Linked DNA regions of Drosophila melanogaster. The protein of the gene in region 1 interacts with the protein of each later gene in a pairwise test. Each region holds a gene or a part of one and is shown on either strand. Other genes may lie near its edges. The genes, in order: CG6688, Sr-CI and CG10939.

Region 1 (3,756 bases):
CACAGTCCTTATCACATTCACTGTTCCAACAGAGAATTGTGACGCAGTCCTTTTGACTCTTCACCATTTTGGCGATTTCAGACACTCTCAAGCCTAAAACATCGTTGCCATTTACCTGGAAATAAAATATTATAGAATTTTATAGAAAATGTCTGGAAATGTTGTTTATTTATTTTAGGAAATAAGTGCCATACAGAAAGCAAGTACCAAGTATCTAAATATTTGGATTTCCACGAGCTACCAAAGAAAACAAATGAATACCACAAAATATGGCCAACACAATTACAAATTCGAAAGCACTGCTTGCGGCTGTATCGCACGCACTGCTTGCGGATGTTAACCTTAGCTAGCACTGTTAACTCAATTGGCTGTTATCTGTTATCTGATAACTGATATTTGCTTTGAATATTTACTTCGTGCTAATTAATCTTTGTCATCAACTAGTTGTTTTACTACGTTCGAGTTGTGTCATTAGTTTTAGGGCGGGCTGTGCATTCACCAGCTGTTTCTAGTTCCCCACTCCACATCCAATAAAGTTTCTAAATAAAGTCGATGCCGAGCAATTAAGTTTTACTGCATTGCTATTTTAAGTAAACAATATCCACGAAGAACAACAAATGCGGCTACAATAGCGGCTGCAAAGTCCAGACTTGGATATATGTACGGTCCAACTTCCATAGCTCAAGCTATTCGTAATTTAAAAGACCATAGCGATTTGAATTTGTTTCTAGAAGTGCAAATCATCATATTGGAATGCTTTCCTGAATAGTACTTTTTATCTTAACTTACGATTCACACAAATTTGTAGAACTTATTGACTTGAAAACTCGCAAGTATACATAATTAGCTTTACAACAAAAACTACATTATTTTTCTAGCTGTTAGCTAACAAAAGGAACTTTTTTCTGATTATAAATATATTATAATTTTAATGGGTTCCTCAAACTCTGTTTTCTTCTATCCTAAGTGGAATGCACATAGTTGGGAACCTGAGTAGCAGTCTCAATAAGCTCTTAATAGGTTTACAAAGTAAATCCCCGCGTCGATCTATTGCATTCTTAATTTTGTAACTGGAGTTCAGGCGCAGATTGAGTTACCAATGCAGTTTAGTTACCAATGCAGTTGGTCTGCGCTGTGCATAATCCGCCAGTCCATTGCTGGCTGAGAGCTGAAAGAACTGACAACGGTGGCACCAACCTGTGGCACTAACTTCTACTCACCTCCAGAACGCAATCGCCGGGTTTCAGGCCGCAGAGAGCGGCAGGTGTGCCGGCTGCCACTTCGCAAACCTGTCGGTGTAATGGGTATATGGTAATTAGGAGGGGACGGGATCTCCAAACGATGGCCACTTTTATTACCCAGGGATAGGGATCCCATTTGCTGCGGGTCAGCTGAAATCCGTAGTTCTCCATCGCAGGTGCGGCTCTGGGAATTCTCAGTAGTCGCACGGAGGAGCCATCGCCATGCTGCCCATCTTCATTGGATGTGGAATGAAATCCTCCCGCTGATTTCCTCATTTTCGGGCTAGAAAACTCGCACAGGTGCTCGGATCGTTGTGGGCCAAAATAAAAAGCGGCTAGCGAGAGACGTGTTCAACGTGCGCTCTCAGTTGGCAAACTGTTTTTCGTCTGTCTGTTGATTTTTTTTCGAGCCAGCTGGCTGGCTGGTGTATGTGGCTGGCTGGCTGGCTGGCTGGCTGAAAAGTTGCCGAGCGGCGAGCAGTGAACATGGAGCGCTTTGGGCCGACGCAATCGGCTACGACAAACATTTTGGCCAAGCTCCCCAGCATCACACATTTAACCCCTTCCACAACTTAATGACTTTGGGCCATCTGACGCGGTGTTGTAAGTGCTCGGCGCCAAAATGTGGCTGCGGTTCAAGATCCGAGATTCGGAATTCGAGATCGGAGATCTGAGATCTGAGTTCCGAGATCCAAAGCTGACACCCAGCTGAGATCATGGAAATGAGACTTGTGGAGCTAAGTAAATATTTGAACTTTCGGGCTGGCAGCGGTTTTTGGGTGCGCTATAAAGTTGCATGTCTACGTATTGTGACACCTTCAAATATACCGAATAAATAAACAAATTCTTCAGCGATTAAGTCATTTGATAACCTGGTAAATTAGTTGGTTCGAATGTGCAGGCTGCTACAATTGTGCGGAAGTGAAATCGAGAACATGGCCAAATACAATAGTTTTCATAGAAACCTTCGGCTATTTCTCTTCGCTTTTCATGGAAACCTTCTGCTATTTCTCTTAAATTGAAAACAATAAAGCTGCGCTTATCACTTATACCATGTTTTGTTACTAGAGATTAAAACTATTAAGGTAAATATAGCAAAACAGCCCAAACAAATATAAATAGCCAAAATAAACTGAACAAGACCTGCAAATTAAGTGTTAAATTGTATATTTATACAGTTTGGTTACGGTTTTGGCACAAATCGTAATCAGATAAAATCGCTATTAGCAGTAATGCACACGAAACTTAATCAGTTTAATTCCCATTTGTTGACTTTAAAAGTTTTCCGACTTTGTAATTAAATTTGAAAATAAACAGCACTATTTTTCGGCTTAATTGCGTGTTGGCAGTGTCAAATGGCCAGTGCATTTGCGATTGAGTGGCCAGCAAGTAAACCAAAATATTATTATTCGAAATGCCAAAAGAAATTAAAACAACAACGACGAGTGTGTTGGCACCGCACTAGGGTGTCAAACGGCGATAAACATAAACAATGGGGCCCTAAATAAATAATTGGGTCTAAAACCGGCTCGTCGATTAACCCTAACAATGATAACTGATGGAAATTGGCAGCTGACAAATGGATTTGGTTTGGCATGGCCAAACCATCGACATCCATTTGACTTTCGCTTTTTTGTTGTTTTGTTATCGCCGGTTTAACTGCCATTGAGGCGGTAATTTGAGTTTGGCGCTGCTCTGGTCGTCTAAAACATTGGCCAAATAGCATTGAAATTGGTAATTTCATTTAAATTTGCGCCCAGCAAAACTGACCCTGGGCGGCATTGTGGTGCGTGGTGTGTGTGTGTGTAATTTGTTTTTGGCTTTTCAATTTGCCAGTTCAATTAGATTTGGCCAAATTTATGTGGCACGCAGAAGCGTTCGGCAGCCAAAAGCCGTCAGCAGTGTCAAAATTAGAGAATACTTACCCAGGCAATAACATCGAAATTCATGTTTCTCGGAAAGCCATCCACCTGAAAGGTAATTGACTTTTATTAATCGGCCAGCAATTAGGCCGGGCCCAAAGGCAAATGGCCAAATTCAAGTGCAATTCCGCCTCTTCACACTATTGGCTCTCGACTTGTTTGTGGCCAGTAGATGCGGTTTCCAAAAAACAAAATAAAACGATGAAAAGCTCGCTGAAGCCAAGTGCAAAGCTCTGCCCACAGGTGGCGCTCGCTTTAAGCCAAGTTAGTAGGTCTGCTGGTCAGCTGTGAAGAAGTCGAGCCTCAGTTTCTTCGCAACTCGCATTCGGTTAAGTGAGCATGCGCCGCAAGTTCCGCTGGAAAACGCGAAGTGCGAAGCGCCGGCGCCGAAATAAAGTGATTACGATACGATCACAAAGATATCGAAAATCATCTAGCGTGGCCGAGAGTTGTGAAAATTGATTAACCAGCTGGCTAACAGAAACGGTGGAAAAAAAAACGGTGTGTAATTGCTAACAAAGCATGGAAGGGCTAATGGCCCAAATGACCTTACGCTCACCGCACCAACTTCCAAGCCAAGTTAGTAAGCGTTG
Region 2 (3,756 bases), on another chromosome or scaffold:
GTTGTTGAAGTTGTAGACGTTGTAGAAGTTGTAGACTTTGGTGTGGTTGAAGTCGTTGTTGTTGGCTTCGGCGTTGTTGAAGTTGTTGTCGGTTTTTTAGTGGTTGTTGTTCGCTTTGTAGTTGTGGCCTTTGTTGTTGTTGTGGTTGTGGTTGGCCTTTTAGTTGTTGTTGTACTTGTAGTAGTTGTGCTTGTGGTTGTTGTTGTCGTTGACTTCCTCGTAGTGCTTGTGCTTGTTGATGTGACCGTTGGGGGCAGGGAACTAATATCATCCTCGGTCGTGGTGAGCAGCTCCTTTGTGCACTCCTCCAAATAGTTTAGGCAACAAGTCTCATCCGAAAGGCACTCGTCATTACACCCACATCCCATGACTATACCATTGTTGGTTATATTGGAGGCCGAGATTGATGTTCCGCATCGACCTGAACAACTCATCATATCGTAGACCAGTGGTTGCTCGTTGCTGCCTGTCGGAGCCGTTGGTTCTGTGGTGGTGCTAAATCCGTTTGTGCCACACTCACTGCCTGTCATTAGCTTTACATCATCGATGGCAATATCTCCGAATTGGGATCTTGCATCCGTTGCCGTGAATATCACCTGGAAGTCCTCTTGCATCTCGTCAATGCTGATCGTGTGCTCTAGCCACTGGGTTCCCTGCTGACCAGATATCTCAAATTTGCTGCAACTAAGATAAAACAGAAACAGAAGCAATCAGTATAATTGTTGCCATGCTTTCGGAATTTTTTGCCACTTTTATCTCATTGCCTGCGACCTTTAATCTAAAACCTCTTCCGCTCCGGCAAAACTCACTTGGCTCTGAACCTATTCCACATGGTTGCCATTGGCATCGAAACGGGTTTAACGGACACCACCAGATTATCCACACCAGCGCCAAACATGAAGTAGTGGAATCGAAAGCAGCAGGCGGTCTTCAGGGTGAGGGATCTGGGATAGATCGGCGATAGCAGATGGTAGCTTCCATAAGCCCCCATTTGGGTTTCCATGCGCATGTAATGACCACCGGATTCGTTTTTAAACGTGTGATCGTGGCGGGGTCCCGTTCTTAGGGAGTGAATATCGGATACCGTGCTGACTCGCTTCCAGGGTCGTCGGAAGGTTGTCTCCGCCTCCCAACCGCACTGATCCTCGCTCTCGAAATCGCAAGAATGATCTCTTGTGTGGTTGCTCCTTCGACACGATCCCAGCTGGGTGCTCCATCTTTCTCCATCGCAGTAGGCAGTGCGACCACCGACCAAGACATAGCCATCGTGGCACACGACATCCGCCCTTAGGGAAAGATTTTCGACGTGTCCGTTCTCCGGATCCTCGGGCCTCGCACATCCCCTACCTTATGTTGAAAAAATGCAAGAAACTCAGTAAAACCATTAGATTATATCGATTTTGTGGCTCTTACTGGCACAGAATGGTTTTTCGCCTCGAAGGCGACCATCTCGATCGCAAGTTTGCATTACTGTTCCCTGCAAAGTGTAGCCGCGATTGCATCTGAATCTCACCACATTTCTCTGTCGATAATTTATACTTCCATTATCCAAATCTATTGATCTTTCACATCGTCCATGAATGTGACCTATACAATATATCACAATCACAGCCAGAGTCCAGAAAAATTCCATTCCGCAGAGATATTACGAACTTAATGTATAGATACGGTCGAAGGCTGTCAAAAGACTGAGAGTCCGATTGCAGCTCGACATCACTCGGAGCAACGAAGAGCGGGACTCATACAATTACAAGATGGTTGAAGTCGAAGAGCAGATAACCGCTATATTGTTCATTCTTAATTCACTCTTAATTTTATACAAATATATATAAATATAGATTTAAATCGCGTCTTATTTTCTTGCGCTGCACTTATAAACGTTTTTTAAACTTATACTATGGGTAAATCTTATAAGCCCAAAATGATAATAGATTTTACAACTCGTCCTTGTTAAGAATGTGGTTCATTGGTTTCAGATTTTATAAATTTTACATCGTCGATACCAATGTCTCCATGGAGAGAACTTGGGTCCACGACTGTGAAGACCACCTGGAAGTCCGACTCCATCTCGTCGATGGAGATGGACTGGCTTTTCCAGTTTGGGCCTTGATCGCCAGACACGGTGAGTTTGGTGCAGCTGGAGAATAACATAAGATGTATTTAAAGCATTTTAAAGTGATTTGGATAGATCGCTTACATATTTCTGAAACTATTCCACATATCCTCGACCGCCATTGAAGAGGGTTTCACGGAGATCGTCAGGTTTCTTACTTCCGAACCAAACATAAAGAGTTCGAACTGAAACCATAAGGAATGGCCCACCGTGAGGTTCCTGGGATAGATCGGCGATATGAAGTGGTAGGTTCTGGAAGCGTGTACCTGCGATTGCAAGCGAATAAAGTGTCCTTCGACGTCGCTCTGGAATGTGTGATCCTGTTGCAGGCACTTTTCTTTGAGAAAATCTGCCGCAGCACTTATTCGCTTCCATGGTTGGGGTATGGCTTTGCTGGCCCTCCAACCGCACATATCCTCACGTTCGAAGTCACAGGAATGGTCACCGACGCTGTTGGCCAACTGACAGGTTCCCAGCTTGATGATCCACTTCGTTCCATTGCAGTAGGTAAAGGAATTTCCGCTAAGAACAAATTCATCATCGCATTCGATTTCCGCCTTTAAGCCATCCGTGGCCGTCAAAATGGTTCCGTTGGCTTGTTTCTCAATATCATTGCAACCCGCTTCTGAAAGTTTTACATTATATATACATATTTTAAGTTTTATTACTCATTTTAACTCACTGGCGCAGTAACGCTTCATCATATTTCCATTGCCAAGGTGCCACGTCTTTCCCTGCAAAGAAAATCCGGGATTGCACTCGAACTTGATGCTATCACCTAGGAGCCAACTAGATAACTCTGTAACTTTTCCGTTGCGCAACAAAATGTCGGGCTCACAACTGGCAATCGATTGGATCACCATATATATCATAAATAGTCTCAGTGCCCACAAAATTTCTACAGAAACCATTGCCATTGTATAAATTTGGATGCTAAATAACGACTGAACTGAGTAAAGCTTTTGAATACAAATTTTTACGTTTCCTTATCTGCTATCAACTTTTTTGTACCAAAAATCTCAAAAAATCTTATCGTTTACTTTTTGCGTATTTCCACATTATATTTACTTCTACAAATATTGAACCAACCGCTGCTTACTTTATACACTTTTATTTTATAATAAATAAACACTTCTCTTTTCTTTCAGAACATGTGAAATGATACGGTAAGTTCCAAATGTTTCTAAATAGTAGGTGGGGTCTTGCCATATGTTAGTTTGAATAAAATGAAATGTACACTTGAATACTTGTAGAAATGCTGCACGATATTGCAAAAGGGCTGATAAATTGTATTGTTCCGAAAAAGGTATGGGAAATCCGTAGATCGGTTGAACTTGGGCGATATCTTATTATCAGTGAATGATAAATTATTCGTTTAGTTCATCCCCAAATAACACCACTAAACTGGCTTTATCGTTTTGTCCTGGGACGCCATTCAAATGCAATTATTCGCATCTCCGGTCGGAATTGGATTCCATGGAGATGGAACTAAATAGAAGCATCTTCTTCCTGTCGCCTGCAAGCTTAAATAAATGGGCATCTGTTGGAAGGTCCTGGAAAATGATTGTCGAGGGTTCGGGTGGCGCTTCTTGCTGTGATTTATGTTTACTTCCGCTTAAGACTCAAACAACTCGCAATCATGA
Region 3 (3,756 bases), on another chromosome or scaffold:
TACATATATGCCAGCTAATGTGTGTGTAATTTTATTTTTATTTGTACAGCAGTGTGCGTGTTTCGTTCGAAAGTTAAATTGAATCGGTTCCGTTGGCTTTCTGGGTTTTTCTGGCCGCCTGTTCGGTTGCTTAAGAAGATTGAACGATTTTTGCACGGTTTGAGTTTTGAAAGTTCATTTGAGTTTTCTGTTTGGGGACAATTTATTTTGATGTGGTGGTGAATTTTTGTACCAGGATTTGATTTTTATAATTTTTATAGAATTTCGCTTAAATCCGAGGTGTCCTCTTTCATTAGGTTTTCAACCTCATTGGAAATGCAATTTAAATCATTTATTACGAAAACCCCTGTAGGATTAAAGAAAACTTTTTTATTGCAGGTTCCCCAAAAGTTTTTGGCAAAATCTCAGCCTTCGCAGCTCTGCATTTGCATCTTCTTTTTCAATTCTTTGTTTTTGTTGATTTCGTTTTTTGTGCATATAAATTTGTTGCCTAATCCGGCGACGTTTTCCCAGGGAGTTGCATTTAAAGCGCCATTCGCTATAAATATTCATGCAAATCGGCAGGGAGCTAAGAAAGTGCCACCCACCAACCTCTAGAGATAAACAGGTGAATCGGCAAACAGAGCAGGTGGCGCCCATCGTTCGGCCTTAATTAAATGTAAAGGCGTTGCGCTTTAAATGCAATTGCCCTGCTCGCTAAGTGGGAACTTATTTGCAATTTCATAATTGCCAGCACTAGTTCTATCTGCACGACTGGCCGCCCTTGCCGTTCCAAGAGTTTGTTGGTCCAACTTTTTCAAAAACTAATTAAAACGATAAGGGCAACCGAGTAGAGCAGCGAAATGTCGCCGCGGAGTACCCAAAAACGCGAGCATGACACTGAAAATAATTCATCTTGTGTTTAAAAACCATCTTTAGAACAGGATTCTGAACTATAAAAATGGTTATTTTTTTAAATATATACGTAAATTTTTTTCATAAATGTTCTAAAATGTTAAATGTTAAAAATACCACCATCAATCATCCCCAATTTTGTTTGTAGTGGAATGTGCCGCTGGAACTTTGACTATTCCATTGCGATGTTTATCCAAAGATCTGCCCAAATTTGCATTAGCACACGGCTTTTGTTTGTCTCCCACACGTGGAGTGAAAAGAGTGTGCCAAGGGGCGATGAAAGTCAATTTACTTGAATGCCCAGGCGGAAATTAAATAAATTCTATGAGCACACGTCAGGTGCGCCAGGCCGAAAATGACAGTTGTCAGCTGTCAAAGCAGGGCCAGAAGTACAGTTGACCACATATCCATAAGCGTCAGCTCAAGGACCTAATATCACTCAATAACAGCGATTCTCATTGCATGGTATTTACCAATGTTCCATTACACTTCATACATTTCGTTTAGAACTGGCTTCTTTCTTGCAACGGACGACAAAACCAATTGGAATTGCACCCAGTGCCTTCTCGTTCATCCCTCTGATTGATTTCCATACAGGTAATGCAGTGGCTTGGAAACATCGTTGGACACTGCTGATAAGAGGACACAATGGGATTAAAAGGGCCCAAAAGTGAAGACAACAAAGTGATGGGTTTTACGGAAATAAAGAGCTTTGAAACAAAGTCATCATACGATAGGCCATAAAGTGGTGTAATTTCGTGGAGTTAAATAAATAATAGCTAATAAATTGCGTTAAGCGTATTGGTTGCACTGCTTAAAACATAAACATTTCAGAACATTCAAAAAGTAGTTTCTTTTAGTTTTCAGATTTACCATTGAAGCCGAAAAATCTCTCGCCCTCGAACTCCCGTGAAACTCACCACAGTGATCTGCGGACTTTTCTACTCTCTTTTCCACCACGCTGGCCCAAAAGTATGCAACACAACACACATAACGATCGGGGCTTACTTCGGCTCTCACCTGCCGCGGACGCTTCAGCAACCGAAATCAGTTACGATTTGCCCGCGAAAGCGTTAACAACGTTTCAACGGATCTTCAGCGTGTGAGATAATATTACATACGTAGAAATAATATCAGGAAGGCAGCAGCAACAGCAGCAAAAACAACGCGAGTAGCCCTCTCTCTGCGCCTCTTTCGCCTGTCAACAGTTATTTTAGCCGATTGTTTTGTGTGACTTTTTCGTGTGCTGTTCGCTTTCGTTTCGTTTAGCTGTTCGGCAACTCCTTCATTTCATTAAAAATAGTAAGGCCTTGTAACAACAACAACAAGAACGACGACGTGTTTATGTGTGTGTATGTGACAGCGTTTGCATACGGAAAAGAGTAGAGAGTGCAACAATAATAACTGCAACAAAAACAGAAAACTGAAAATCAACAGCAACATTTGAAAGGGAATCGTTTCTACTTGTTTGTTTAAGCGGTAAGTCGAAAAATGAAATTTGCAGCCTTGAGACAGTTTTAGAGCCACTGAACTTGAGCGAAATGCGAGCAGAATATCAATTGATCCATTGGAATTACTACGGACAAACGTAACAAAACAACGTGCTAAACATAAATGTGCAAAAATAATTATAAAATCGCATTGAATCACTTGCCATGATTTAACCAAGTTAATAAAAGTCCATTTCATTTGCTGGTCATCGCAATTGAAAGCCATAAAAACTGTATTTTCAATAACTGAAATTAAATAAACAATTTACACACGCAAAGCGCTTTGGGGTGGGAAAGAGAGGACGATTTGGCTGCGGGAGCGAGAGGGAAGAGAAGCTGCAATCGGCCTTAACGATTACACTTAGAAAATTGTTATAATCGGATTTTCAGTTTAAATTTCAATTGATGAAACAACAAGGATTTGATGGAACAAGTCAATATTTTTTAAACTGAATCCCAATTAAGTCCATAGCTATATGTACAAGTATATCTTAAAGATACTGATAAGGGGATTATTTGCATTTGAAATAGTACACCCGCTAACAATAACTTTTTGCTCTCTGCATTAAAGCTGAATCAATAAACTAAATAAGCCAAATTAAAATGGGCTTTTATTGCGTACCGCTAAATGTGTTGCCCTGTTAACTGCTTTTGGCTGCACTAACCGTCGCACCGCCTTACATAATAATTGTTTTGATTTATATTGCCCCCTCTCACTCGCACGCTCTCGCACCATCTCTTTTGGGCGCATTGCATAAGGCCGTTGCGTTTGCAAATGCGACATGCATGCGATTTTGTCTCTTTCTTGTCGCCTATCACTTGGCGGCCTCTCTTTCTAACGCTATTCATAAATCGCTGTTAAGTTTGGCAGGTTTTACTCCCACTTCTTCTTCTTATTTACGACAGCAGACACTCCCCACCTGCAATTCACCTGAAAAAGCCCCGAAATCCCCAATCCCCAAGTGACAACTCTGGTATTCCAGCAATGCCTCAAAGCAGGTTTCTTTAATGGTTATTTTTTCTAGTCTTTTTCTCTGTTTTTGTTTAGACTTTGCTTTTATTTTAGTTTCGAGTCGCTGGTTGTTGTTGCACTAATTCACCGGTTTACTTCTTCTGATTTGCTGGTTGTGCATTTTTGTCGCGTGTATTTCTGGTTTTTTCATAGTTTTTTTCCCCCTCCTCTTTTGTGGGTTTTTCTATGGCACTTGCCACGATTAAGATCCAATCTTCGGCGTTCTGCGCTTGTCACTAGCTATGCTAATTCGATTAAATCGGTATTTAGCGATCGGGTTTTGCATTTATCGCGGCCACAGCCCGACGATTTTTGACACATTTCGCGGATAGAAAGATCTGTGCAAGATCAATGAGTATG

The links.
Region 2: the proteins of CG6688 (region 1) and Sr-CI interact in a two-hybrid assay, tested with the Drosophila melanogaster proteins (one large-scale study listed by BioGRID).
Region 3: the proteins of CG6688 (region 1) and CG10939 interact in a two-hybrid assay, tested with the Drosophila melanogaster proteins (one large-scale study listed by BioGRID).

Annotation. Positions count from the first base shown.
Region 1 is NT_033777.3:23,010,275-23,014,030, reverse strand, and holds the start of CG6688 (uncharacterized protein), read right to left. Parts: upstream 1,620-3,756; 5' UTR 1,518-1,619; coding exon 1,359-1,517; intron 1,290-1,358; coding exon 1,221-1,289; intron 116-1,220; coding exon 1-115.
Region 2 is NT_033779.5:4,119,637-4,123,392, reverse strand, and holds the start of Sr-CI (scavenger receptor class C, type I), read right to left. Parts: upstream 1,692-3,756; 5' UTR 1,634-1,691; coding exon 1,414-1,633; intron 1,348-1,413; coding exon 810-1,347; intron 685-809; coding exon 1-684. Other genes in the region: Sr-CIII (scavenger receptor class C, type III), read right to left, coding at 1,951-2,137, 2,198-2,738, 2,796-3,030.
Region 3 is NT_033778.4:17,392,654-17,396,409, forward strand, and holds the start of CG10939 (uncharacterized protein), read left to right. Parts: upstream 1-1,939; 5' UTR 1,940-2,373; intron 2,374-3,756.